3 linked regions of the Stegostoma tigrinum genome follow. The protein of the gene in region 1 interacts with the protein of each later gene in a pairwise test. Links are inferred from orthologs where the notes say so. Each region holds a gene or a part of one and is shown on either strand. Other genes may lie near its edges. The genes, in order: fars2, RCC1 and BTB domain-containing protein 2-like and appl1.

Region 1 (10,182 bases):
TTTTTTTTGGGGGGGGGGTGGTGGGCGCGGAAGTGAAACAAGAACAGAGATGCCTGGTGATGTGTGTGCTTATTCTTTAAAAATGCAGGACTAGTTGAATCCTTGGTTTTTTTTTAAAAACAGAGGAGTGTACACAAAAACAAACAAGGTATTCTAAGAGATAATGGGAACTGCAGATGCTGGAGATTCCAAGATAATAAAATGTGAGGCTGGATGAACACAGCAGGCCAAGCAGCATCTCAGGAGCACAAAAGCTGACGTTTCGGGCCTAGACCCGTCATCAGAGAGGCATTCTTCATCAGAGAGGTATTCTAACCCTTTAACATACTGGTTAAACATCAGCTATAATATCTTGTTCGATTCTGGAGTTCACACTTTAGGAAGAACGTCAGGGCTTTGGAAATGATACAAACATGATTTACTAGAATCATCCCAGGGTTTAGCGACTTCAGTCATGCAGAGATGTTATTTACCAAGGAGCAGAAAAAGAATAGAAGTTAATTAGATGAAGTGTTCACAGTCCAGAATGGTTTGCAAAAAAATAAATAAAGGACACAAACGTAAGATGATTAGCAGAAGAACCAGAGACCACAAGCAAACATTTTTGTCACTCATCATTTCGCACATACCACAGATAGAACATAGAACATAACAGCACAGTACAGGCCCTTCGGCCCTCGATGTTGTGCCGACCTGTCATACCGATCTAAAGCCCATCTAACCTGCACTATTGCACGTACGTCCATATGCTTATCCAATGACGACTTAAATGTACCTAAAGTGGGCGAATCTACTACTGTTGCAGGCAAAGCGTTCCATTCCCTTACTACTTTCTGAGTAAAGAAACTACCTCTGACATCTGTCCTATATCTTTCACCCCTCAATTTAAAGCTATGCCCCCTCGTGCTCGCCATCACCATCCTAGGAAAAAGGCTTTCCCTATCCACCCTATCTAACCCACTGATTATCTTATGTGTCTCAATTAAGTCACCTCTCAACCTTCTTCTCTCTAATGAAAACAGCCTCAAGTCCCTCAGCCTTTCCTCGTAAGACTTTCCCTCCATACCAGGCAACATCCTAGTAAATCTCCTCTGCACCCTTTCCAAAGCTTCCACATCCTTCTTATAATGCGGTGACCAGAACTGTACACAATACTCCAAGTGTGGCCGCACCAGAGTTTTGTACAGCTTCACCATAACCTCTTGGTTCCGGAACTCGATCCCTCTATTAATAAAAGCTAAAACACTGTATGCCTTCTTAACAGCCCTGTCAACCTGGGTGGCAACTTTCAAGGATCTGTGTACATAGACACCGAGATCTCTCTGCTCATCTACACTACTAAGAATCTTACCATTAGCCCTGTACTTTGCCTTCCGGTTACTCCTACCAAAGTGCATCACCTCACACTTGTCTGCATTAAACTCCATTTGCCACCTCTCAGCCCAGCTCTGCAGCTTATCTATGTCTCTCTGCAACCTACAGCATCCTTTGTCACTATCCACAACTCCACCGACCTTAGTGTCGTCTGCAAATTTACTAACCCATCCTTCTACGCCCTCATCCAGGTATTTATAAAAATGACAAACAGCAGTGGACCCAACACCGACCCTTGCGGTACACCACTAGTAACTGGTCTCCAGGATGAACATTTCCCATCAACTACCAGCCTCAGTCTTCTTTCGGCAAGCCAATTTCCAATCCAAACTGCTATATCTCCCACAATTCCATTCCTCCGCATTTTGTACAATAGCCTATTGTGGGGAACCTTATCGAACGCCTTGCTGAAATCCATAATTTCCTTAATAATAATTTCCTTACTTATTCTCAGTCTGAAAAATCAGAATATATTTTGAGACACAGTACATCAGTATACTTTTAAAAGATGAGCTTGTGATATCATCATTGTATCATAGAATATGACCTAATTGTATAAACACTGCATACTCCACCTTAAGTAGATCACTTGAAGTATGAATTGCTACTACAAGTATGATGCTCAGCTATAACATTAGTGTAACACTTATCTGTAACTCTTACGTGTTTGTAATTCAATAATTATACATGATAACCAGTTGAAATAAGCATCTATTGGATCCTTCAACAGTACACTCCGTTGAGGTTGTACTGGATCTTGGATTTGGATTTCTGCTGCTTTGGACAGTGGATGTTCAGGCCAATTCAGATTGGGTCACTTGGAACATAAGAATAAACTAGTGAGCAAGCAAACTAACAAATACATTTATGCATCATCCAGATAAGTCAATTTCAACTGAGTAACAAAAAAAAAATGCCATGCACATTCAAAAATACCCAGTTTCTGGACAATTCTGGTTTGTAGACTGCCAATTTTGAGAATGTCTACTTGTAATTATTTAAATCTAACTGTCTTTGTCAATGAATTGATCAAAGTTGGGAAATGAGAATGTCCCAGATTTACAACTTGAGTGAAAACAGCACATGAATAATTTATTACACTGTTTAGATCTACAGAATGGCTGTAAATTGGGAGAGGGGAGTGTGCAATAGGACCTGAATGTTCTTGTGCACCAGTCAGGTAAGCATGTAGGTGCAACAGGCAGTAAAGCAGGCAAATGGTATGTTTGCTTTCATAGCGAGAGGTTGAGTGTAGGAGCAGGGAAGTGTTGTTGCAGTTATACAGGGCCTTGGCAGGACCACACTTAGAACATTGTGTGCAATTTTGGTCTCCTTTTCTGAGGAAGTCACTCTTGCTCTCAAGGGACTACAGTGAAGGTTACCAGGCTGATTCCAGGGATGGTGGGACTGACAAGTGGAGAGATTGACTAGATTAGGATTATTTTCGCTGGAATTCAGATGAGCGAGTTGGGGGGGGGGGGGAAAGAGGGGAGAAGAGGAGATGTCATAGAGACTTTTAAAATCTTAATGGGACTGGACAGGGTAGATGCAGGGAGCCTGTTCCTGATGGACGTGTCCAGCACAGGGGTCACAGTCTAGGGATTTGGGATAGACAGAGAATGGAGATGAGGAGATACTTGTTCACCCAAAAGTGATGAGCCTGTGGAATTCATTACCACAGGAAGTAGTTGAATGTACTCAAAAGGCAGCCAGATATAGCAGTTGGAGTGAAAGCAGGATTAGGCTCTTGAGTTGGACAATCAGCCATGAACGTGATGATTAGCAGAACAGGCTCGAAGGGTACAAATGACCTCCTCCTGTTCCTCTATGTTTCTCATCATACTTTGGAAACAACAGAAGGATTTAAATGGATTTCTCCTATGATAAGATCAGTAGGCTATTGGGACATGGAGTGATCTGTACAAAAATGTATAGAGACTAAGTGTATTGCTAATTTTATTACTCCAAAACAAATTCCCTCTCAACTCACTTGGTGGCAGTCACTTATTATCAATACTACCAGAATTCCTGCTCCATTAAAAAAATCTCAATAGAGCCGTGGTAACTGTGTAGATGTGACCAATGCTGTGTGAGATTAAAAAGGCAGCATATATTTTATATTAACTAACTTATAGATCAAATAGCTATTGACAAGCAAAACCTCATAAGAAAGCTCTAAGGGAAAACTCTTTTCAAGCACAAATGGCAATATTTTGAATAAGTGCTTTGATTTGTGTACAAGATACATGTGACTAAGAACAAGGTAACACAGAATTTACACCAGAGAAACTGGTCTGTTTATATCACACATCTCCCACATTTCAAACAACATTGACTCCATATTATGCAGAGATAGTAGGAATTGCTGACGCTGGAGAATCCGAGATAACAAAAGGTGTAGAGCTGGATGAACACAGCAGGAAAGCTGACATTTCGGGTCGAGAAGGGTCAGCTTTCCTGATCCTCTGATGCTGCTTGGCCTGCTGTCTTCATCCAGCTCCACACTTTGTGTACTCCATATTATCCAATTGGCTTGAACACCCACAGTCCAAAGAACCTGACCAGAAATCCAACAAAGTCTAAAATCTGACGTAGCCTTAGTCTTGAGATTTCTGGTTGAGTGAATGTATTTGTGCTGTGATGAAAGCAGAATTGTCACCTTTTGTTAAGTACATACCAGCTACATCATTTCTACATATCTTTCTACCCGCTTTTGTCGTACACACCCTCCTCTACCCCCATAATCCTGCAAATCCCAATTCGTGGAGGAATCTGTCTCTACCACTCTTTCAGATAAAAGGTATTCCAGACCCTAATGAGCCTCCCGGTGTGAAAACGTTGCTCATTGCCATCCACTTTATTTTAGTTTCAGATCTCCAGCACCAACGGCGTTTCTGCATTGTTTCGCGTCCTTTTTGTACAGGCTGCGTCACAGCCAAAAATGAGAGATCGGAGGAGCGCTCAAAAGTTGCGTGCATGAAGAACAAAACCTGATAACGATTATTAACCCTGCCCAACAGCAAGTAACTGTGCAATGAATTGCATTCCTCGAGACACCGGACGTGGTTCCCCGACACGTCCCTTCTATTTTAGTCTCAGGATTATAAAAGAGAACTCCTTTTTGGAACGATGACCTTGTTTAAAAAAAAAGGAACCACCACGGGCATATTCTATATCCCTGTGCTCTTAACATGCACAACTTCTCACGAACCAACTCACCTTCTTTGCAAAGATACAACAGTGACACCGTCCCTTCCTTGACCTCTTTTTTCCCCTCCCACCACCTCAACAACACAAATTGACAATAGTAGGACACTGTCTTGCCAGTCGAGAGGAGAGAACAGTTTTATGAAAATAAAAGGTGTTAGAGAATGCGAACAGTGGATCCTACTTTTAGGATTTTGCAAGGCAAAAGCAGAACGGACGTATTCAGTTTTGTTTTGAATCCTGAACGGTCGAAGGTTCCACAGGACAGCCGTTGCCTGCACAACGTTCCATTTCAGGCACGCGCGCCCAGCCACCGGGGTCCTGCGTGGTAAAGACCGAAGAACGAAGATGGCGGTGCCCACAAGCAGTCAGGTCCTGTCTTTATACAGGTTGATGCTGAAAGAAAGCAAGAAGTTCACCAGTTACAATTATAGGTAAAAAGAAGTAATTTTGTTTTCCGCCAGGGAATGTTGATATTTGCTACGTACTTTGCTTATCAATCCCATGTCACACTCCTCCATCCCACTTAAGCCGCAATTTAATTTCAACCACTGACATTTTATTTATGTAGCCGTTCTTAATGCGAGAAAAACGGGCAAAAACGCAATCAAAAGCTCGCGCGCGCGCGCGCACACACACACACACACGGGAAAAAAAAATCTCAGGCAAAAGCGAGATTAGAAGCGGCGAACAGAATTTAAGTTTGATATAATAGGAACTGCAGGTGCTGGGGAATCCAAGATAACAAAGTGTGAAACTGGATGAACACAGCAGGCCAAGCAGCATCTCAGGAGCACAAAAGCTGACGTTTCGGGCCTAGACCTAGGCTCTCTGATGAAGGGTCTAGGCTCGAAACGTCAGCTTTTGTGCTCCTGAGATGCTCCTTGGCCTGCTGTGTTCATCCAGCTTCACACTTTATTATTTAGGAAAGCTGACGTTTCGGGCCTAGACCCTTCATCAGAAATCTGAGAGATCGGCTTTAAAGAAAGGTTTGAAAAAAAGGGATCAGTGGGAGATCCACAAAATGTCAGACCTGACCAGGGATAGGTGTGTTTCTGGCTTTGGGTCCTGGATAAAATTCAGAAACACTGGGTGAGACCATGAAGGGATTTCAAACCAAGATTGAGAAGTTGAAGGTGGAAGTGTCAAGAAAGTCATATGTTTATACATTGTCTTTCATGATCGTTGGAAAAAAATCAAAATGCTTTACAATCAATTAATTGTTATGGGAATGTAGGTCACCAATGCCAGACTAAAGCTTGATTAAGATTTTGTGCTGAATAAGATAGAGTTGCAACAACAAGAGCTGAGGAAGGGGTCACCTGATGAAAAACGTTAACTCTGATTTTTATTTTCTTCACAAATGCTGCCAGGCCTGCTGAGCTTTTCCAGCAACTTCAGTTTTTGTCCCTGATTTACAGTATCTGCAGTTCTTTCTGTTTTTATTTAGGATACAATCTCCGGACTTTTAGATGTATTATTAAAGTCAGTCCTTTTACAACACACATATTTCCTCCAGCCCTTCACACACTCACTGGTCATCAAGCATTTATCTGCTCATTCAGAGATAGTAGGAGCTGCCGACTCTGCAGTCTGAGATAACAAGGTGTAGAGGTGGATGAACACAGCAGCCTGGGCACATCTTGTTTTTTAAGCACTTGGCCCATAGCCTTGTATGTTACGCCTTGCAAGTGTTTATTGAAATACTACTTAAATGTTGTGATCGTTCGCACCTTTACCACTCATTCAGGCAGAGCTCTGGATACCCATCACTAATTTGGTGAAAATGTTCTTCCTTGAATTCCTTCTAAACCTCCTGTCTTTTAAATCTAAACTGCTCAATTACTGAACCCTCTACTAGGAGAATTTTCTTCCTTTCGAACTTTCTATACCTCATAATTTTGTATTTATCAGTTAAGCCCCTACCTGTCTTTTGTCCTTTAAGGGAAACAACCCCAGTCTATCTAGTTTCTCATCATAGTTGAGACGCTCCAGCCCAGCCGATATCCTGGTGAATCCTCTCTAGAGCATTCACATCCTTCCGACAGTGTTGTGACCAGTACTGCACACAACAATCCAGTTGTGGTTTAACTAACATCTTTTGCAGCTCCGTCAAAACTTTTCTGCTCTTGTATTCAGCATCTTGACACATAAAGACAAGTATCCCATGATTTCCTAACCATTTCATCTACCTGTACTGTTGTCTTCAAGGATATGTGACATGAACAAAAATCTGTGTGATCCTCTGTACTTCTAAGTACATTGTGTACTCCCTTGCCTTGTTTGTGCTCCCAAAGTGCATCACCTCACTTTTCTGGATTCAATTCCATTTGCCACTGTTCTTCCCTTCTGACCAACCTGACTGTATCATCCTGTGGTCTAAGGCTTTCCTGCTCATTTACCACACCACCAATTTTCCTGTCATCTGTAAACTTACTGATCAAACCTCCTACATTCATGCCTAGATCATTAATGAGCACTATAAACAATATTGAACCCTGTGGTACAGGAGTGTATGGGCTTTTACCTTCTTGACCAGGATACTGGTATGACATATCCTGTATGACATCTTGTCAAAAAATTTACTGAAGTACATTTAAAGTGCACAAGCTGCCCACTGTCATCTCCACACTTATTAACCACTTCAAATAACTCAAATCAGACTTGTCAAATACAATCTCGCCTTGACAGACACATGTTGACTATCCTTAATTAATCTTTGTTGGTCCAAATTGAGATTAATTCTGTCCTTCAGTATGCTAGCCTTGTCCTCCTAGGTGGTAAAGATTGTCAGTTTTGGAAGGTGCTGACAAGGGAACTTGGGAACTTGCTGCAGTGCATCTTGTTCTTGATGATCAAGACCCATTAGTTTATTTGCAGCCAAGTAATATCAAACATCTAATAAAACAAGACAAGTCAGTTAACAGCAATGTGCCTTTACCTAAGAAGCATAGCCTCAAAAAAGGTGTCACAAATTTAGGAGGGAGATGACAAATTTCTTTACTCAAATGATTCTGAATTCTTGGAATATTCTTTCTTTTAGAGGCTGAATATGCACAGCACTGGTTCAAAATAAATATTGAAAGGTTTTTAGAGGATTAAGGGATTTGAGAGATACAAGAATAGTGCAGGTAGACAGAGTTGAAGTAGAGGATCAGCCACAATCTTATTAATGGTCGGAGCAGCGAAGAATGGCCTGTTTTTCTGTTCTGAGCAGAGAACAATGTCCCAAGAAAAGCATTTCGAAAGCTGAAAGCTAGGCTAGCTGAAGACTTGGCCATTAATGCTGGTGTAATGAAAATTGAGATACATGAGCATTATCAGAGTGCAGAGACCCTAGTTGTAGCACTGGAGAAGATTACTAAGATAAGACGTGCGTTGAAGGCGTTTGAATACATTGAGATTTTAAAATATTGTGATGATATTGGATAAGAAGCCAAGAATTTTACCAAGTTCAGTGACATGTAAGTGTTTCGGAGCTTTGGATGAGCTCAAGATGGAGTCAATGATATATTGTTGCTTGTCATGGGGTCTCCTCACACTGCTTCCCCTCCTTGTCTTGGCTACCAGAACTGGTACAGTACCTGCAAATTAGACACAGGAGCAGTCTATTTGGTCCCTTGAGGCTTCTGTTAATCAGCAATACCGTGGCTGATCTGATGAAATGAAAAAGGCTTCTATGCCTACGCTCAACAAAAAGGACAATGCTTAGACATATTTAAACAGATTCCTACCAGGCTTTGACTACAACGCTCTGCATCTTCGTCCTCGTCACTACTACCTTTCACCTCTGCCTCCACCATTTTAAGTTAGCTTTCAGTTTTCAGTTCCAACTTCTGAAGTTCAAAAAGTCTCCCTTTCTTCTCATTTGTTTTTCATCTGTTTTCGATCTTCATATTCAGGCTGCATCAGTTGTGATTGATTTTTAGCCATTTACAATTTCCGATTGCATTTCTGGCAATTGTAAGTATCGAGCTATTGCTGCAATTACCTCCCCTTTCCTCATGGGGAACGCAATTTCAACTCCAACTTGCCTGCCAATTCCAAAAGTTGCACACCTTCTGTAAACTACCCCAAGTGACTTCTTCCACACCAGGAAAATTTAACCTCTGAAAGAGCCATTATTACACAAGGCACACCCTATTTGAGCGAACTCAATTCAATGCCCAAAAAGGGAACACCGATTCACTAACCCTAAATCCTAAGTTTAATGGAGATGTGCGAGGGACGTTTTTCACACAGAGAATGATAGCAGCTGGAATGCACTGCCAGAAGAGGTGACGGAAGTGGGCACATTGAAAACATTTAAGAGGCACTTAGACGGGTACATGAATAGGGAAGGAATAGAGGGATACAGATCGAAAAATGGCAGGTTTTTTTTAAGATTAATTACAGCATGATGGTCAGCACCAGCTTGAAAGGCCAAAGGGCCTGTTCCTGTGCTCTACTTTTTCATTTGATCATTCATTTGCCTATACCTGCTGTCTTGTGATTTTTGACCTTGTCAGTCCCAGTCCAACACCAGCACTTCCACATCAGTGAGGGATAAGGGGCTGTGGAAGAACAAAGGTATTTAGTGTCTGTCTGCAAAAATCAAGAAAATCTAACATGTAAGTATGCAAAACAAGAATATTGTCCTGCTTGACTCTGCAATCAACCTTATCAAAGGCTGAACATACTTGGCCTCAATGCCTGTTATCCAGCTCAGTGAAATAATGCTTCCTCCAGTTCTTACACTTTAATGATTCATTTGGTTATGATTAAGTGTTGTACATACATTATCACAAAGTAAGTTATGAAAGTTCTTTGTATTACAGTCACAATGTGATCTGGATGGTTGAATCTTCTTCCCAGTGCAATCCTACTGCAGTATATTTTAAGGCTTTTTATTAAGTTAGTTTTTATCTCCCAGGAAATCTATTGTACTGCTCATGTGTAATCATTGTTCTGCAACACTGCAGTGCTGTACCATCTCAAGGTGCAAGAAGGACACTAATTCCCTTGACTTCAGGTTGATCTTGGAGTACAGCATTTATAAATAAGGCTGTTTTTAAACTTGCTTAATTGTGGAAGTTGACCCCTGATGCTGAAAAGCAGTTATAATCTATAACGCCTTTGGTGTTTGCTGATTTGCTGTAATTGCATCAATATGTTAGATTCTAGGAACAAGGTTATGTTCATTAATGACTTGTTAGTACTATTGTTTTCTCTTCTCTTGTGTCCTTTCCCATCTCAGTGGATAATTAAATGGTAGTTTGCTGTGACTTGTGCTGTGGGATCTTTTCTATCCATCTTGAAAAGGCAACACTGGTGTCAGTTTAAAACCAAATCCAAAATATGGTCTCTCCAACAGTACACCATTCTCTCACTACTAAACTTATGTGCTTAAGTTGTGGACTTGAATACATAATCCTTTGACTGAAGTGTTATCCTCTCGCATAACTCCACTTTGGTTCAAAACCCTCAAAGTACTTCTCACGATAAATGTGGAAAAAGCCCATTAGCCAAACTTTAAAGCAATTGCTGTGCACCTGCTCCCTGCAATATGAATAGACTGATTTCCAGAACACAAAGCAACTTCAACACTATTGTAGAATTAGT
Region 2 (9,970 bases), on another chromosome or scaffold:
CACAGCAGGCTAGGCAGCTTCAGAGGAGCAGCTGACGAAATGTCCTCTGATGCTGCCTGGCCTGCTGTGTTCCTCCATCTCCACACTTTTTATTATCTCTGACTGCAACATCTGCAGGTCTTGTTATCTCTCGCTTCAAAAAAAAGGTTGTTTATCTCATGATTTGTAAATACTGTTGTTGTTGTTTGTGCAAATTGGATGTCAAGTTTCATAGAATCCCTATAGTGTGGGGACAGGCGATTTTTGGCCCAACAGGTCCACACCGCCCCTCTGAACAGCATCCCACCCACACCCATTTCCCCTAACCCTACATTTCTCCATGTCTAACCCACCCAACATAACATCCCTGGGCAGTATAGGCAATTTTAGCATGGCCAATCCACCTACCCTGCACACCTTTGGACTGTGGGAGGAAATTGGAGTCTATGTTTGGGAAGTTAAAACCTGATTACAACCTTATTATTCCTGCAGCTATCTGCCATCTCCTTACATATTTGCCCCTCAATTTCCCACTGACTATTGAGGAGCTTACAGTACAATCCCATCTCAAAGTGATCGTCCCTTCCTTATTTCTCTATTCCAGCCATATACTTCACTGGACAATCTCCCAGGAATAATCACAGTACTGGCGTGCTGTTTCCCCAGTCAAAAACACCACTTCCCCTCCTCTCTTGCCTCCCCTTCTAGCGTTCCTCTAGCATCTGTACGCTGGAACATTGAGCGACGGACAGGTCTGGCAGCTCAGTCATGTTTCAGTAATATCTACGATCCCCCAGTCTCACGTTCCCATCCATCCTGAGTTCATCTGCCTTACCTGTCAGGCCCTTTACATTGAAATAATTGTAGTTTAATTCATCAGTTTAATTCCTTGCTGAGCTGTTGCCTGGCTTATCTATTTAGCTATGTTCCCTTTAACTTCTGCATCAGTCTCAACCTTCTCTCGTCTCACTAGTGCTTATGGTACCACACCATTGGCAGACTAGTTTATAACCCTCCAGAGCAGTGCTAGAAAATCTCCCCGGCAGGATACTGAAGCCTCCCTTTCAGGTGCAACCCCTCGCTCTTGTACAGGGTACTTCTGCCCCAGAAAAAATCCTAACGGTCCAAAAATCTGAATCCTTGCCCCCGGAACCAGTCCCTCAGCAACGTATTCATCTGCCCTATCCCCCTTTTCCCTCTCTCACTTGCATATGGCACTAGGAGTAATCTAGAGATTACTAGCCTTGAAGTCTTGTTTTTTAACCTCCTGCCTAACTCCCTATATTCATTTTGCAGGGCTTCATCCCTTCTTCTACCTATGTTGTTGGTACCAATGTGTACAAAGACCTCTGGCTGCTCATGCTCTCCTTTGAGAGTTTGCTGCAACCACTCCAAAAATGTCTTTGACCCTGGCACCAGAGAGGCAACACACCATCCTGGAGCCTCATTCACGGCCACAGAAACGCTGTCTGTGCCTTGACTAGAAAGTCCCTTATCACAACTGCTCGCTTGCACCTTGCCATATCCTGCTTTACTGCAGAACCAGTCGTGGTGCCAAAATACCAGGCTCCTGCTGCTGTTTTCCCCCACAACAGTATCCAAAATAGTACACTTATTTGAGAGGGGGATAGCCACAGAAGACTCTTGCACTACCTGCGTACCTCTCCTGGCAGTCTCCCGTCTATCTGCATGAATTTGCAGTGTGACCACCTCCCTGAAACTACAATCTATCACATTCTGTGCCTCATGAATGCTTTTCAGTGTGTCCAACTGCTGCACCAACCAATCCATTTGGTCTTAGAGGAGGTGTAGACAGACACACTTCCTGCAGATGTAGTCGCCAGGGAATCTTGACCACTCGCTAATCTTACACTTTGGACAGGAGGAGCATACCACTCCACTGATTGTCATCTCTGCCCTTTTAATAACTACCCAACATAGTAGAAACGAACAAGATCTTACCCTGCCATTACCTTATTGCTGCTCACCCTCCTCAACCAAGGCTAGTGTTCATCTAGGCCCACTATTAGATTTAACCCGCAGCACCTCGACCCCAAGGCTTGCAAAAATGGTCAAAAAAAAGACAGTAATGCCTCCCTCCCATTGCATCTATTTCTGGTCACCACATTTGGGGAAAGTGGTTAGGGTCCTTGACAAAGCATAGAGATTTAACAGAATGGTTCTAAGGATATGTTCTAAGAACTTTAACTACAAGGCTATGTTGGAGAAGCTGAGGTTGTTGCCTGACAGCAAGAAAGATTTGATAGAAGCGTACAAGGCTATGACAGGTTTAGGTAAAGCACATAAAGAAAAGCTGTTCTCATTAGGTGACAGTACAAAGGCTAAGGAATATAGATTTTAAGATTTTGGATAAGCAGTGCATGGTATGAAATTGTGGTCGTGTCAGAAAACCTCTCAGCATCTCCTTGATCATAGAACATTTCTGTGATGCAATATCTGAAATGTGATGTTTAAAGAGGAGATGAGATGTGATGTACTTTGGTCGGATGAACATTGAAAGATGATTCAAATTAGGGAGTACAATTCTATAATGAGTTCAGGAGAGAAAAGGGGCCTGGATAGTATGTGTGCGCAGATCATTGAAGGTTGCAGGACAGCTGGGAGGAGCAGTTAATAAAACAGTGTGTTTTTGACTCTATCAATGGGGCAAGATGGTGATGTTGAACTTGTACAAACTGCTTGTTAGACTTCAGCTGGTCTATTATGTAGAATTGTAGATGCCACATTGTACGAAAGATGTAAGCACGCTGAAGAGAGTGTGGAAGCAACTTACAAGAATGGCGCCAGGAATGACAAACTTCAGTTCAGGACATGTTGAAGAAATTGGGATTATTCTCCTTCAAGAGAAAACTGAGTGGGTATTTGATAGAGTTCTTTGACACCGTGAGCAGACTGGACACAGTTGTTAGGAGACATTTCCAGTCGTAAAAGCAAAAAGAAGAAGGGGGCATACATTTAAAGTGCTGCACAAAGGAAATATTTCTCACAGCAAGCAGTTAGGGTATGGAATGTACTGCCTTGAAATGTAGTGAAGGCAGGTTCATATGTTGCATTTAAGACAGTACATGATGATGCAGATATACACACCATTCTCTAATTGAGGAACAATAATAAGTATCCAAAAAGCATCAAACTACAGGATTTTGTCTACTGAGAAGCATACTCAAACAGTATCCCAAAAGCCCTGCATCCAATCATTTAGCTACAATCACGATTCTATTACCAGACAAAACCATTAATCGTCAAGAAAGATGTTTTTTTGAGGGTTAGGAGATAAGCTTACTTTGGATTTCTTTTTTGAGGGAGGTTGCTAGTTATCTCCACTTTAAAATTTTTCAAGGATATAGTGCTACTACTTCGAAAAACACTAGCATTTGACCATTGCCATATTCAGCCATGGCCAAATATGAGCGGAGCCTGCATTCTATACTTGGCATACATTCTAGAACACACTGGCAGCTGCGCGGAGGCTAGACATGTCCTGGTGATCTTTATCACTTATTCCTGGTGATCTTAGTAAGCTTTTAATGTATGAAGAAAATATTAGGACAGGTAGAAATTCTCAACCACACAGTAATAATAACTTCTGCCGATTACAATATGAACAGAATATTTATGCTTCTGAAAGCTCTTTTATGGAAGCCTATACTGTATCTTTACTAAGCAGATTGAGCAAAAGATTTTTTTTTTGTCAGCCAGAGGAATTGTACATCCCGCATTTACAAAACTTACATTTGGACCACGTAAACAAACAAGCTTCAGACAGGCCCAAAAGCGTTTATCGACTCGATTACTCTTCCTGTTTCCAAGGCTATACCAATCGAGTGTCCTGTGAAACTGCAGAGACCAATCAGGGTCCAAGAGCCGCCCTCACGCGCCGGGTTTGGAATGCTACCGCGTTGAGCCGAGCGCTCGAATCCTAACTGTCACTGTCTCGAGACGAACAGCCAGCGACATGTCCATGCTGAAGGACTGACGGATCAGCGGCTTCGAGGGGCAGTGCATGAGGCGACAGCAACATCCGCCACCGTCAGCGACGCTGGAGCAGCGGCAGGGAGCCTGACTTTTTAAGACAAGAGCATGACCATTGTATTACACGCGATTCAAAACAGGAGGGTCGTGCTGCTCAACTCAGAGGTGTAACAAATCCCTCAAGAGAGTTGGAAAGAGGCCACCTCAGCGCCAGGGATAAACATACCGTGGCTGGGTTGCAATACGGATATAAATTTGACGTGACAGTAAATTCTGCTTCTTACTTTTTTAGCGTGAATTACTTATTACATCTCAGAACGATTTTCGACTAGTTGCACCAACCGCTTACTTTATCTCCCACACTGCTGCTAAACGACTGTACTGCTCATTTGACATGAAAAATAGATGTGAAGGAATAACCTCCAATTAAATATTGGGAAAGCAGATGGAGTAAGCACAATTGCAAGAAATGCCCTTCGATCAGAAGATATAGGATACACATGGGTGGAGATAAGAAATAACTAGGTGAGGAAGGCACTGCTAGGAATAATCTATTGGTCCCAAACAATAACTGTGCAGTGGAACGGAAAATAAATAAGAAGATGATGAGGGATTGTCAAAAAGGCAGTGCAATGATTGTGGGTAACCTAAAACGGTGACCATACGTGGTGGAATTTAGCATTCAATTTCAGAGTGCAAAACTGCTAAGTAGAAATAGGGTTTTTCTGAGGAAGGGTCTAGGCCCGAAATGTCAGCCTTCCTGCTCCTCTGATGCTGCTTGGCCTGCTGTATTCATCCAGCTCTACACCTTGTTATCTTAAACACAAATGAATCCAGGCAGAGCTAGCTGGTCTGGACAGGAATTCAGGTTTAAAAATAAGTTTGACGAACAACCGCAGGCATTAAGCAAAGTAGTTCATGGCTCACAGTAAGTATATATCCCATTGAGGACGAAGGAATCTTGGCATAAGCCAACTATGGTTCACCAGGGAAGTTAAGGATAACATCAACGTGAAAGAAAAATGCGTGCAATATGTCAATGCTCAGTAATAAACCAGAGGATTGCCGTTTTGCACCTACACCTTATGTAAAGGACAGAGTCACCATGACCTGTTTGAAATCTCCCATCTAGATCTCCCAGTCCTCTCCTACTCACTATGATCTCTGATTGCTTCTTATGACTGTCATCATTCCCTCAGTTATCCAGTACAATGAAGCCATCCCTCGAGTTGCTTGGCATGCCCAGGACTCCATGATCTACCCCTGATAAGTCCTCTGACCATTACAGGCCAAATCCCCAGGATTGACCATTGCCAACTCCCAAACCTGTTTGGTAGAACATCCCTGACTGACCGTTTCACCGTCCTTCAACTGACATCTCCGTAGTGTCCCTTCTGATATACCTGTAATCCTGACAGTTTCACTTGAATTCCTGGGCTGCAAAGACACTGATCTCCAGATTCTCTTAGAAACAAGCATCGTATTGACAGCGACAATCCGGTTGTAATGTAAGTTAATTATGTGGAGCCTGCTAATGACTTATTTCGCCCTTGACCCCATTAAAGACTGATCTCCTTTGACTTTCACACCTTGTGTGTTTCAAGCAAAGGGCAATGTATTTACTGCATAAATTGCTGATACATGCGACAGCTCTGATATTGACATAGCATGGTGTAGCAAAGTGACATGTCCACCCTCTATCCGATTGAAGATTGATTGTTCAGTGTTCCACAATGTCATTAGCTGCCAGCCTCTCACATCATGCTAAAAAGCAAAGCAGATCACAACATCTGATAGCCTGTAAGTCAGTGCTGACATTGGTTAGTGTGCACTAAGAAAGTAATGTGAAGTAAACAGTCTGACAGGAACCAAGTAAGTGAAATGCGTGAACATGAAGAAACGACTGAGTTATAAGATGTGTTTGTTTGTGTCAGTGTCAAAGCATCCTGTACAGCTGCATTTCCCTGCACCCAAAGCAACCTGGTAGAGGTGTGCAAGTCATAAGTGTCCAAAGTGCTGTCCGGGAGCAAGCATGATGTTGTGCTGAGGCCGCTGGTTTATTGATGCTGACTTGTATGGGTGAAGAGTCAAGGAGAATGGTGGCCATGGTGAATGAGGGGCATTGTTCTGGAAGAAGCTGTTGCATGATAACCAGGAGAAGCATTCAGAAAGCAGCAGCTGCCAGATATCTGCTCTAATTTATATGTCAGGAATTTTTCCATCTAGTTTCTCAGTGGAGCACTGGTAAAACAGGAAAAAATAGTGCAGTTTGGAATTTTAATGAGACAAATGCATGGAAATAAGGGAGTTAACACTCAAAGTTGAGATTCTGAAGTCGCTTTTTGAGTTTTGAGCTAATAATCAGACAAGCCTTTCTTGAAGTCGAAAATCTTGGGAATTATTTATCATTGTATTTTCCCACTTTTCTCACCATTGCTTTTGCTAGGAAGTGTAAGATTCTGCCCAAGGTTTCAGCCAAGCATACCATATGACGACAGAAAATTTAGTGAGGCCCTTCTTCCTCCACGTCCGCATCAAAACAGAGTGATTAGCTACCAACATCTGCCCTGCTGTCACCTCCGTAATACATACAGACAGGCATGTTCGTTTAATCAGCCTCTTTCATTCCACACAGTTCAGCTATCTTGGGAAATCAGAAGCAAAATACAGCAGGTACGACAGCCTGATTTGGTCTGTGAGTGAGTCACCAACCCTATTCTCCCGTTACTGTTACCTAATTAAAAAAAAATCACACTTTACTAACATTTTTGTTAAAACTTACAGTTCTAATAAAGTCAATTCCTCTACATCCAACTGGAATAAACTGATTCTAGAATGAAATAAAACCAGGAGTGGCTGGAAAGCTCAGCAGATCTGGCAGCATCTGTAAAGAGAAAACAGAGTTAATGTTTTGGGTCCGGTAACCCTTCTTCAGATCTGATTTCTCTTCATAGATGCTGCCAGACCAGGTGAGCTTTTACAGCGTCTTCTGTTTTTGTTTCTGATTTAGAGGATCCTCAGTTCTTTCGGTTTCTGGGATTAAACTGTTTCAGACTGTATTAAGTAATAGTTATAAAGGTTACAGCTTCACTAATTTACCTCTTCCTCACACCCTCCATCACCAATCAAGATGTAAGAACAACTTCTCCTCAGGCTCCAGTTAATTTTTTCAGATCAAATGGCATGTTGACCCACCATTCTATTTTTCAGTGCACACCAGGTTCCAATATGGGCTAAGGCACTGAAACTCACATTGGTAAGTTGCCTAATGAAAACCAAAAGAACTGCGGATGCTGTAAATCAGGAACAAAAACAAAGTTACTTGAAAAGTTCACCAGGTCTGGCAGCATCTGTAAAGAAAAAAACAGAGTTAACTTTTCGGGTCCTGAGGAAGGGACACCGGATCCGAAATGTTAACTCTGTTTTCTTCCTTCACAGATGCTGCCAGACCTGCTGAGCTTTTCAAGCAACTTTGTTTTTAAAGTAAGTTGCATACATGACTTATCTAAATGATCTTGAAATGAAGAAAGTAAATTCCAGGAATCACACCACAGAAGGTTAGATTGGATCCATTAGAAAGATTAAATGGGAGAAGGATAAAATGGGGAAAGAGTAAATCAATGACTCACACATTGAATTTGTTAATGGTGTGAACATCGAGCAGGACTGGATGCTCTGATTCGCAGTCCTTCCGCTTACTCTGTAAGCCTATTTGCAGTCACTTCACAGTTTGGGATCTGCTGGCTTACAGTGGGCACAATGTAATTAAGTTCTTGATAACAAAATAGTTTTATTAAACCATGAAGTCCCAGAAGTGAATTTTAACGAATGGTGATTGGTGGAATGGGGAGCTGGTAACACTCTCAGTGACCACTATTTGATAGTACACTAACTGATCACTCAATAGACCAGTAGCTGACCATTCAATATTACACTCGTTGATTGGCCAAGAACAGACTGGATTACTTTCTGAAAGTAAATTGGCAGTTTGCTCAATAACACATTGGCTGTCTTCCACATAGTGCTGACAGCATGTCTGATGCAGCTTAAGGACTGGCCTTCATTGGCATCAGTTTGGCAGGATGTGACTGGTACAAGAATGTCCATCGGGCAGTTCACTGCATTGTGCTGGTGAAAAGAATTGTTAAGTGTAGCAAGTCAGGTTAGTTTAGAACATCACAGAATCAAGTAAAAAAGCTGCAAGGAAACATAAGTGTAAAGTACTTTTGTCCATGCAATTAAAAAGGAGAATATATTCAAATACACTTTTGCCTGTTTATACATTTCTGCTTAACATTACAATACATACTAATCAATAATTAATAATAAATATTAATCACTTGGAGGCAGGAAGCCTATGTACACTAGCCAAATTTGGAGGTGACACAAAAATAACGGGAAAGAAAGGTTATGAGAGGGATACAAACAGTTTATACTTTAATTAAGTGAGCAAAAGTTGGCAAATGGAGTATAAGGTGGGAAAATGCTCATTTTGGAAGGTTGAACAGACTATTAGCTAAATGGAGAAAAAGTGCAGAATACTGCAACCCTGGACTTGGGAGTACTTGTACATGGAACACAGTAAGCTAGCACACAGGTGGAATGTTGGCTCGTACTTCAAGAATATAAGGGCAAACAAGCCTTACTGCAACTGTACAAGGTGCTGGGGAGATCACATCCAGAGTGCTGTGAACAGTTTTGGTCCCCTGTTTAAGGAAAGATGTCATTTCATTGGAAGCAGTTCTGTGAAGTTTCACTCGGATGATCCCTGTTAAATAGGGATTGTCCTATGAGCAAAAGCAAAACAAGTTGGGTCTCTACTCACTGGAGTTTAGAAAAATGACAGGTGATCTCATTAAAGCATAAGATTCTTAAAGGGCTTGACAAGGTAAGTACTGAGAAGATGTTTCTTCTCTTGGTAGAGTCATGCACCAGAGGGCATAGTCTCAGAATAAAAGGGAGCCAATTTAAGACTGAAATGAGGAGGGATTTCTTCTCTCAGAGGGTTGAAAATCTTTGGAACTAGATTCTTGATTAGAGAAATAGATTCTTGATCAGTCAGTGAATCACGGGTTACAGGGAAAGGGTAAGGAAGTGGACATGAGGAACATCAGATCAGCCATGATCCTTTTGAATGGCATAGCAGGTCTGAGGGCTGAATGGCCCTCTCCTATTTCATATGATCTTGTGCTGATGGGTGCCAAACAAGTGTGTTTGCAGAGTAGATGCCATGCAGGGCTCAGGGTAGGTGTATGTGAGCGATGGAGAATGATGCTTGCAGTAATGAGAGAAGGAGAACTTGAGCCTTTCTGAGAGCAGAATGCAGAAACAGAAATAGTGTGTGAGGTAGCAGTGAGAATATGGTTGCTCTTATTCTGGCCAAGTTGAGAAGGCCAATACTGGACATTCTTCCACATGGCTCATTCCACACTGACCCAGGTGATTACCTCAGACCAGGGTGGCAGTTCTGATGGTATGGCCTCCACTCTGTCTCTACTCTGGACAATTCCAAACATCAGAACCTCAAAAAACATGTCCACAAATCAGGATGTCAATTTCTCTTATCTGCCAAATCTAGAACAAATGTTATGAACCGTGTTGGGCATTTCTGGACTGACAGTGCTTGTTCAGTTATATATTGGCCATTTAAACATGATGAGGGTGTCAGGGACACCAGTCTCTTCTAGGATATCCTGGCCATGGTGAGTTATTTTGGATACAGTGAGCAGTAATTTCAGGCTTGAGAGGTGTTAGGGTATGGAATAGGTAGCAGTTAGTGATGCAGGTTTGGGACAACAGAGCAAGAAAACCTGCCAGGCCTCATGGAAGGAAACCCTCCAAGAAACTCAAAAAATTGGCACTTATCTAAACGAATATCCATAAAATAAAGCCTGAAATGGGGAGGCAATGGCCTAGTGGTATTATCACTGGGCTGTTAATCCAGAGACCCAAATGGTGTTCTGGGGACCCAGGTTCAAATCCCGCCAGGGCAGATGAT
Region 3 (10,151 bases), on another chromosome or scaffold:
GCTTTTGAAAAGACTGAGATTGGTAATTTGTTCTGCCAGTTATGCCAAGGAGGTGCCATAGAAAATGAAGAATCATACCCGACTCAAAACATCAACGATTGTCAGACCTGCAGAGTTTCTCCAGAATTCTATGTTTATTTTAGAATTTGTGAAAAGACAAGTTGTCCCTGATAAACCTGGTTGGACTATTGGATACAACAGAAAATTCAATATAGTGCAATAGATTTTATATAAACTTTCAAAAAGGGTCTTAATAAAGTAATGCAGTTTCAAAGTAAAGTAATACTTAGTAAAGTAACAGACACATTAGGAAAATAGAAGTACTGGGATAAAAGTAGCAGTGGTAATGCGGGTAAAGCACAAAAGACAATAGTGATGAATGAATGATTTTCTGACTTGGGTTATGTAATGGGGACTGCAGGGATTATTATTATTATTATTATTATCATCATTAAGGCCATTATTTTTCTTTTTGTACAACTAATCTGGACTTGGGTGCAGTAGTGTTTACAATTTCAAAAATCCTGCAAGGTATAATCTTTGCAACATAGCGGATGGTAATAGACACTGGGGACATAAACAGACAAGTGAAATACAAAGAACAAAGAAAATTGTACTGGATATGCTGCTATGTGGGCTGTTATCAGTGGTAATGGATGTGCTGCTGGGTGTGCTGGCATAATTGAAAGTGCTGCTGACTGTACTGGTGCTGCCATTGGAACCGGGTGTGCTGCTGTGCGTGCTGGTGTCATCAGTGGTAATGGACATGCTGGTGGGTATGCTGGTGTCGCTCGTACTGGATGTGCTGCTGGGTGTGCTGGTATCATCAGTGGTAATGGATGTGCTGCTGGGTGTGCTGGTACTGCTTGTGGTATTGGATATACTGCTGTGTGTACTGGTATGACTGGAAGTGCTGCTGTGTGTGCTGGCGCTGCCAGTGGAACTGGGTGTTCTGCTGTGTGTGCTGGTAATATCAGTGGAACTGGACTTGCTGCTAAGTGTGCTGGTGTAATCGACGGTACTGGATATGCTACTGTGTGTGCTAGTGACGTCGGATATGCTGCTGTGTGTGCTGGAGTAACTGGAAGTGCTGCTGTATGTGCTGGTGTTGCCAGTGGCACTGGACGTGCTGCTGGGTGTGCTGGTATCATCACTGATACTGGATGTGCTACTGGCTATGCTGGTATCATCAGTGGTACTGGATGTGCTGCTGGATGTGCTGGTGCTGTCAGTGGTACTGGATATGCTGCTGGGTGTGCTGGTATCAGTGATACTGGATGTGTTGCTGGGTGTGCTGGTATCATCGGTGGAACTGGACGTGCTGCTGTGTGTGCTGGTATCATCAGTTTTACTGGATGTGCTGCTGGGTGTGCACAGGAACAGGCCCTTTGGCCCGCCAAGCCTGTGCCAATCCAGATCCTTTATCTGAACATGTTGCCTAATTTCCAAGGATCTATATCCCTCTGCTCCCTGCCTATTCATATATCTGTCTAGATACATCTTAAATGACACTATCGTGCCCGCCTCGACCATTTCCGCTGGCAACACATTCCAGGCACCCACCACTCTCTGTGTAAAGAACTTTCCACGCATATCTCCCTTAAGCTTTTCCCCTCTCACCCTGAAATCGTGACCCCGTAGTAATTGAGTCCCCCAATCTGAGAAAAAGCTCCTTGCTATCCACCTTGTCAATACCTCTCATGATTCTGTAGACCTCAAACAGGTTCACCCCTCAACCTCTGTCTTTCTAATGTAAATAATAAATAATCCTAATCTACTCAACCTTTCTTCATAGCTAGTGCCCTCCATATCAGGCAATCTCCTGGTGAATGTTCTCTGCACCCTCTCCAAAGCATCCACGTCCTTTTGGTAATGTGGCGGCCAGAACTGTACGCAGTATTCCAAATGTGGTTGAACCAAAGTCCTACACAACTGTAACATGACCTGCTAACTCTTGTACTCAATACCCCCTCCGATGAATGAAAGCATGCCAGATGCCTTCTTGACCACTCTATCGTACTGAGTTGCCACCTTCAGGGTACAATGGACCTAACACCCAGATCTCTCTGCGTGAACTCCCAGATCTTTCTGTGAGCACATTCATACTGGGATGACTTAATTTAAAGAACTGTTAGGTGATGGGGAACAGAGAGTGTTTTGAAGAGTGGGGACTCAACATTAAAGCAACCTGGGATGCATATCCAAAGTCTCCCAGGGTGGCAGGACCAGTTAAGAAGAAAATTAAAAAAGCTTAACGCATGCTTGATTTGACAAACAGTGTTATTTAATTAAAAAAAACACATTTTCACAGATCACTAGCTAGGCTTCAGCTAAGTATTATGAAGTTCTGGGCACCACACTTTTGTAAGGACATCAAGACCTTGTACAGGGTACTGAAGTGGTTCAGCAAGTAATATAATCCACAAGGACTTCAGATACATTGAGAAATTGGAGCAGTTGGGAATAATCTCTTCAGAACAAAGAATGCTAATCTGAGACCCAATTGATGTAGTTAAAATTGGCGTTTTGATAGAAGAAATAAGGAGATAATGGGTCGATTATTAAGGAATAGGTTTTGAAATTGTAGCAAAAGACAGGGAGGATATTAACAGAAATTATTTGCAGGGAAGGCAGAAAGTATACAAGGGGGAAGTAAATACAGAGTTATCAGGAAATATTTAGATAAAACAGGATATTCAAATGGACTACTAATACCAGCCAGTTTAGCTGATTAACCTGCTTCTGTGCTGTATATCTGTGCAATCTGGAATGCACTACTTAAAAGGGTGGTCACATCATATTCCAACACAACAGACATGCATTTGAAAGAAATTCACACGCAAGATTAAAAGGCGGCGGCCGGAGTAAGAGACAAAATCAGGCAGCTTTTCCCAAAGTGACATGGACATGGACATAGGAAGCTCAATAGGAACAGCAGGGTGTGGGGTATTTGTAGACTGATCGCTAAAGGTGGCAGGATTGGTTAACATGATAGTTGTGAAGGCATACAGAACAGCTGCCTTTATCAGTTGTGGCATTATTAATAGATGTAGGGAGATTTTGTTGGAGTTGTATAAAACTTTGGTTAGGCCAAAGTAATACTGTGTGCAGTTCTGGTCACCACACTGAAAGAAGGACATGACTGCACCATTGGGGGTGCAGAGAACATTCACCTGGATGTTAACTGAGATGGAGTATTTTAGTTATGAAGAGAGGCTAGATAAGTGCAAGTTGTTTTCTTTAGAGCAGAGAAAGAGGTGTAAGATTTTGAGGGGCATGAACAGGATGGATGGAAGGCATCAGTTCCTCTTAGTTCAATGATCAATAACAAGTTGATAGCAGAAAATTTAGAATAGGTATGAGGATTTTTTTTCACTCAGGGAGTGGTGGCATCTGGGATGCATTGCCTGGAAGAGTAATTGATACAGGAAAGCTCAGAATCTTTAAAAAGTACTTGGATGACCATTTAATGATATGACATTCAAGGCTATGGGCCAAATATAGCAAGAGGGACCAGTGTATGAAACAAAAACAACATTGCCTGAAAAACTCAGCAGGTCTGGCAGCATCTGTGAACTGAAAAGCACCAAAGCACTTAATGCTGCCACATAAATAGATGTATGTCTTTCTGTAGTAAGTAATATAAGAACCTCATATTTTTGATCTAAGAATGGCTTCAGTTTGCACCCAGGCAATTCCCATATGTTAACTGCAGAATGTTGTATTTGCTGTGTGTTATTTTGAATAATCTTTAAAGTATAACATTTTGGTGCTGCTATATTTAAAACAAAAAAAATCTTAGTTTACTGTTAAGGCATGACCTGTTCCCTATTGTTTGCAAGTTGAGTAGTTTAGAATTTCAGCACAGAGAAGGGTCATTCAGCATAGCATAGAATCATACAGTACAGAACCTTTATGACCTATTGAGTCTAAACTGACAAAAACTACTCAAAAGAACTGCGGATGCTGTAAATCAGGAACTAAAACAAAGTTGCCGAGAAAGCTCAGCAGGTCTGGCAGCATCTGTGAAGCTTAAAACAGAGTTAACGTTTTGAGCCTGGTGAAACTTCTCAGAACTGAAAGAGGTTCTCATATTACTCACTACAGAAAAACAAACATCTACTTATGTGGCAGCACTAAGCCTTTTGGAACCACGGAAATCTACTGTAATAAAAAGGAAATGTCACTGACAGCTTGCACACAGCACGATCCCACAAACACTGAGATTTACAATCAGAATGTGTTTTTAATGATGGCTGTTGAGGGTAAAACATTGCTTACGACATTAGAGGAGAACTCCCCACCTATAGCGACATGCGACATCTAGGCTCACCTGAGAGCAAAACGAACTTTGTCTCAATTGCCAGCTTTTAAGTGGCCGCCCAGTTTCCGCCAGCGGGATGTGAACCTTTTGACTGAGATCAGTAGGATCAATGAGCCACTGCTATCACAGCAACCTGAGCCCACTGATATACCCTTAAAAATTAAACGGGCAAAAGGCCGGACAATTATGCAGAGGTTGTCCAGAAAAACGCCGCTTTAGATTTGAGTAAAATACAGGCAGTACAAGACCAGCCTTCGTAACGTTTGTCTCTGATATCCCCGTAAGTTTCACCCCAGGTGTTCCTTATCATACAGCAGATTTTTTTTACTCAGTTCAACCACCGTTTCTCACGCCTCTTTAGCAGTGGACATTCCAATTAACATGAAGAGTTACATTAGAGGTGAGTGGGCCTTTGCCCGACCTGCTCAAAGGCTAACATCTGATCGAGTGTCAGCGATCCGCCTGAAACTGGAGGGTCGGCTGCATCGATTTGTACCTGCGGGCTATCTTCCAAGGTCTCCTCGATGGGCAGTTTTTCGATCCCCAACATCTCTGCGGCCTCCCCGCCTTTCGCTGCAAACTCCAAGGCGACGAGGGATGTCGGCTCGGTCAGAGAAGTCCCGCCTCCGTCGGCTTCGCCCACTGATTGGCTGTTTCCACAGCCACTCACCAACATCAACTTCCGTTGTGAGCAGCGGGTCCAGCCGCTTCGCAGGAGCCGGGAGGCTGATGATTTGGGTCGAGACCCTTCTTCAGAAGTGTAGGCCGAGGGGCTACGTTTGTGACAAAGTGGGTTGAGTTTCTGGTTTACTGCCCACGTTTACAAGTGCTTAAGTGATCTACAGGAATGGTTCGAGGGCTGAGATGTTCCAGTAGTGAGGTCTGGTTGCAGAAGTTGGGAAGGAAAACAGAAATTGCTGGAAAAGCTCAGCAGGTCCGGCAGTATCTGTAGAGAGAAATCAGTTGACGTTTTAGATCCAGTGATACTTCCGCAGGACTTACTTAGACAAGTTGGGGGATTGCTCTCTTTTTAGGGCGAAGAATTGTGAAGGGGCTGGATAAAGTAGATGGGGAGGTAAGGGCCAAGAATGAAAGGGCGTAGATTGAAAGTGATTTGCCAAAGGTGAAAAATGTGATTGAGAATAAAGCTTTTTCATAAACTGAGCATTTTGGTTGTGAAAGGAACGCAATGCTTGAAAAACTGAGGATGTCTGGCGGCATCAGTGGAGAGAAACAGTTAACGTTTTGGGTCTGTAATGACTTTAGAATTGGAAAGCTGTGAGAAAATGGTTGCTTCTTTTGGCAGAAGCAGAGGTCCGAAGCAAAAGTTGTTAAAGGTGCAGAAACAGAAAAAGAGCTGTAAAATGTATGGAAATACCGGAGTGAAAAGGAAGGAACAGGTCTGCTATACTAAGAGCAAAGAAGACAGAGGGTATGAAATGCACTGCCTGTAAGTGTTCTGGAAGCAGGTTCAGTTGAGCCATGCAAAAGGAAATCAGATGATTATTTGAATAGAAATAATATGCATGGATATGGCTGATAAGCATGAAGCTGGCACTAGCAATGATGTTCCTTTGAAGAGCTGGTTAAGACAAGATGGGCCAATGACTTCCTTTTGCACTGTAACACTTCTGTGATTCTTTGCAACATATCTCCACATAAATTAGTGTCAGCCCTGTACAGAATGCTTTCTCTGTATATACTGTTTAGTGCTAATGAAAACAGCTCATGTACTCTGAGCACTGTGGGACATGCTGAGGGCACGACCTGAGCAGAACTTCTGCAGTACAATCAAAACCTTTCCAACTTGATTTATGTGAAGTTTGGAGTAGCAAGAACTGCTATAGATAGGACACTCCCTCCAACCTTGTGTGTAATACAGCCCTTTTTAATGTTATTTGTGGCATGTTGCTGTCACTGGTATGACCATTATTACACACTTTGGGATTCAGTTAGTCACTTGGTGTTAGATAGGGAGTTTCAGAACTTTGCCTAAGTTACAATGCTATAGTTTCAGTCAATGATCCAAACTTATTCTGCTATTCTGCTTCTGCCCCTCTCTTTCTCATCTTCTGTTTCTGCCACACTGGTCCTGCTTCTGTTTCTCATCCTGTGTTTCTCATTTACTCTTTAAGATTCCCTATTTCTACTCTCTCAAACGAGAATGAGAAACAGTGAATGACAAACAGAGGGGCAGATAGTGGCAGAAACTGATGGACAGATACAGAGAATGTTTCTGCCCCTCTGTTTGTCATTCTCTGTTTCTGCCGCTATCTTTCTGCACCCCCCCCCCCCGCATTCTGTCATTCTCTGTTTCTGTCCATCAGTTTCTGCCACTATCTTTCTGCCCCCCTGTTTGTCATTCTTGCTGAAAAGGAGATACAGAAGATGAAAAACAGAGGGGCCGAAACAGTATAAGGAACAGCATAGCAGAAACAGAGGATGAAATACGAAGGGGTAGTAACCGTGGATGAGAAATGGAGAATGAGAAACAGAGGTGAGAAACATGGGCAGAAACAGACACATGGAAACAGGTGCAGAAAAGGAGGATGAGAAACAGTGGTACAGAAACAGGATGAAGAAAAGAGGTTGAGAAACAGAGGGGCGGAAACAGAGAATGAGGCACAGGATGAGAAACAGAATCAGAAATACATGATGAGAAACGGGCAGAAACAGTGGCGCAGAAACAGATGTGAAACAAAGGAGCAGAAACAGAGGAGGAGAAACAGTGGAGGAGAAAGAGAGAATGTGAAACAGAAGGGCAGGAACAGGGGATTGGAAACAGGGGCACAATCAGAAGCTGGCAAACAGGTGCAGAAACAGGATGTGAAACCTGAGGGGTAGAAACACAGGATTGGAAACAGGATGAGAAACTGAAGGGCAAAAAGGAGTATGAGAAACAGAGGTGCAGGAAAAGAGAATGGGAAACAGAGGATGTGAAACATAAGGGCAGAAACATTAATGAGAAAGAATGAGAAGCTGTGAATGACAAACTGAGGCGTAGAAAGGGAGGTTTTGAAACAGGCGCAGAAATTGAGGATAAGGGAAAAATTTTGTGAAACAGAGGGATGGAAACAGAGAATGACGCTCAAGAACAAGAAAAAGAGGATGAGAAACAGTGGTACAGAAATGTAAGATGAGGAAAAGAGGTTGAGAAACAGAGTGGCAGAGACAGAGAAAGGCGCACTGAGGATGAGAAACAGAAACACAGAATGGGAAATGGAGTGGCAAGAAACAGCAGTGCAGAAACAGATATCCTGGAAGAAAGGGGCAGGAACAGAGGATTGGAAACAGGGGCACAGTAGGAATCTGGCAGATAGGGGGGCAGACACAGGATGTGAAACAGACATGCCAAACCCAAGGGCCAGAAACACAGATTGAGAAACAGGTGCAGGAACAGAGGATGTGAAACCAGATGGGCAGAAACACAGGATAAGAAACATAGGGGAAAAATAGAGAATGAGAAGCAGAGGATGGGAAACACAGAATGTGAAATAGAGGGGTAGAAACAGAAGATTGGAAACAAATGGGCAGAAACAGATGGCGAAAAAGGTGAGGATGAGAAACAGAGGATCAGAAACAGGGGGGAATAAAGTAAGGAACAGAGGAGAAGAGACATAGTAGGAACTGCAGATGCTGGAGAATCTGAGATAACAAAGTATACAGCTAGATGAACACAGCAGGCCAAGCAGCATCAGAGGAGCAGGAAAGCTGACGTTTTGGGCCTAGACCCTTCTTCAGAAATGGGGGAGGGGAACGGGATTCTGAAATAATTAGGGAGGTGTGCTTGGGCTGGAGGGGAGTGTGGAGTAGACAAGGAAGTCATGGAGAGAGTGATCCCTCCGGAAAGCAGATAAGGTTGGGGAGGGGAGAAATATCTTTTGGTGGTGGGGTTGGATTGCAGATGGCAGAAGTGTCGGAGGATGATGCGTTGGATCCGGAGGTTGGTGAGGTGGTACGTGTTGATGAGGGGGACTCTGTTTTGGTTGTTATTGTTGGGAGGGGGTGTGAGGGATGAGTTGCGGTGAAATGTAGGAGATACGGTCGAGGACGTTCTTGACCAGTGAGGGTGGGGAAGTTGCAATCCTTTAAAAACAAGGGCATCTGAGATGTTTGGGAGTGGAATGCCTCATCCTGGGAGCAGATGTGGTGAAGGCGAAGGAATTGGGAATAGGGGATGGTATTTTTGCAGGAAGGTCGGTGGAGGGAGAGTTCGAGGTCGCTGTGGGAAGTCGGTAGGCTTGAAATGGATATCAGAAATGTGGGAGACATGGTCGAGGGCGTTCTCAACCACTTGGGGGGTGGTTGAAACAGACTTGGAATCAGAGGGGCAGAAATAGTCACAAATTGAAGTGCAGAAACAGAGGACCAGAAACAGAAACAGACTTTGAGAAATAGAAGGGCGTAAGATGAGGATGAGAAACTGTGCTGCTGAAACAGAGAATGAGAAACAGACAGAGTAACAGAAACATAAGTTTGGAAACAGAGGGGCAAAAACAGAAGATGACAGAGCAGCAGAAACAGAGGATGTGACACAGTCATGTCAAGCCATAGGGGCAGAAAGAGATAATGAGAAACAGACAACCAGAAACAGAGGATGTGAAACCGGAGGGGTAGAAACATAGGATTGGAATCACAGGCACAGAAACTGAGGTGTACAAACAGTATGTGAAACAGAATCAGAAACAAGAGGATGAGAAACTGAAGGGCAGGAAGGGAGGATGAAAAACAAAGAATGTAATAATACAGTGGGGCTGAAACAGGAGCAGAAACAGCGAATCAGAAAGGAGTTGAGAAACATAGGGTCAGAATTACAGGATGAAGAACAGAAGAGCAGAAACTGAAGCAGAGGGGCTGAAATAAAGAATGGGAAACAAGGATGAGAAACAGAGCGGAAGAAACAGTGGTGCATACCGAGATAATTAGAAACAGTGGTAGAACGAGAGGATGAGAAAAAGAGAGGGGCAGAAATTGAGGCACAGCAAGAGAGGTGCAGGAACAGAGGGTCTGAAACAGCTGGGATGAAATGGTAGGGCTGAGTCAGAGGACTGGAAACAGGGGCACGAGCAGAAGTTGGCAAACAGAAGGGCAGAAACAGTGGATGTGTAACAAATATGCAAAACCACAGAAGCAGAAACAGCATGCAGGGAAACCCTCATGGACTTGATGCAATAACAAGACACTGGCCTGTTTAGAAAAACAAATCCTTTATTACAAAGCAAGTACAAGCTGTGGAGGATCACTGTACTCAGCCTGGCACAGAGTGCAGAGTCTCCTGAGCGGTGGACTGTCCTCGCTTTTTATACCTTATCGAGCGCATAGTACATAAAGCAATTTTACATCTCACAATGGCGTGATACGTGAAACAATCACTACATCAGACAATTACATGACGCACAAACAATTACTACATCGAAACCATAAAGAGAGCAGGATACAGTATTGATCGTTTGTGAAGTGACTGCTAATGGCAGGAGGCGATTTCAGGTTGCCAAAGTGTCTGGCTTGAACAAAAGTCAGTGCCTTGGCTCCTTTAGCAGAAACAGAAGTTACATACTTTACAGGATTTCAGAAGTCTCTCACCTTTACAAATGCTTCCGACCTAATCTTATTTGAGACAGTTTCTACATATCCCTGTGCAGGAAGATAAAGACTTACAAAGTTTATACCTAATTCTATTCAGGCAGGAAGCTTAAGGCAGTGTCTTTCTACCTATGTGTAGGAAGATAAGGATTTACTAAGTTTTACACCTCATTCCAGTTGGGCAGGAAGTTTTAAGGCAGTGTCTGCATACCTCTGTGTAAGCAGATAAAGAGCATTAATTTAT

The links.
Region 2: the proteins of fars2 (region 1) and RCC1 and BTB domain-containing protein 2-like interact in binary tests that used the Homo sapiens proteins (3 or more experiments, as listed by UniProt). The two-hybrid records come from large-scale screens. The link is inferred for Stegostoma tigrinum from reciprocal best matches to the Homo sapiens genes FARS2 and RCBTB2.
Region 3: the proteins of fars2 (region 1) and appl1 interact in binary tests that used the Homo sapiens proteins (3 or more experiments, as listed by UniProt). The two-hybrid records come from large-scale screens. The link is inferred for Stegostoma tigrinum from reciprocal best matches to the Homo sapiens genes FARS2 and APPL1.

Annotation. Positions count from the first base shown.
Region 1 is NC_081355.1:11,434,549-11,444,730, forward strand, and holds the start of fars2 (phenylalanine--tRNA ligase, mitochondrial), read right to left. Parts: upstream 4,919-10,182; 5' UTR 4,766-4,918; exon of another isoform or gene 4,594-4,765; intron 1-4,593. Other genes in the region: LYR motif-containing protein 4, read left to right, coding at 4,930-5,015. UniProt on the Homo sapiens protein: Is responsible for the charging of tRNA(Phe) with phenylalanine in mitochondrial translation.
Region 2 is NC_081365.1:72,566,082-72,576,051, reverse strand, and holds the start of RCC1 and BTB domain-containing protein 2-like, read right to left. Parts: upstream 3,860-9,970; 5' UTR 3,733-3,859; intron 1-3,732.
Region 3 is NC_081364.1:53,768,353-53,778,503, forward strand, and holds the start of appl1 (DCC-interacting protein 13-alpha), read right to left. Parts: upstream 4,937-10,151; 5' UTR 4,875-4,936; coding exon 4,821-4,874; intron 4,800-4,820; exon of another isoform or gene 4,718-4,799; intron 4,424-4,717; exon of another isoform or gene 4,334-4,423; intron 1-4,333. UniProt on the Homo sapiens protein: Multifunctional adapter protein that binds to various membrane receptors, nuclear factors and signaling proteins to regulate many processes, such as cell proliferation, immune response, endosomal trafficking and cell metabolism.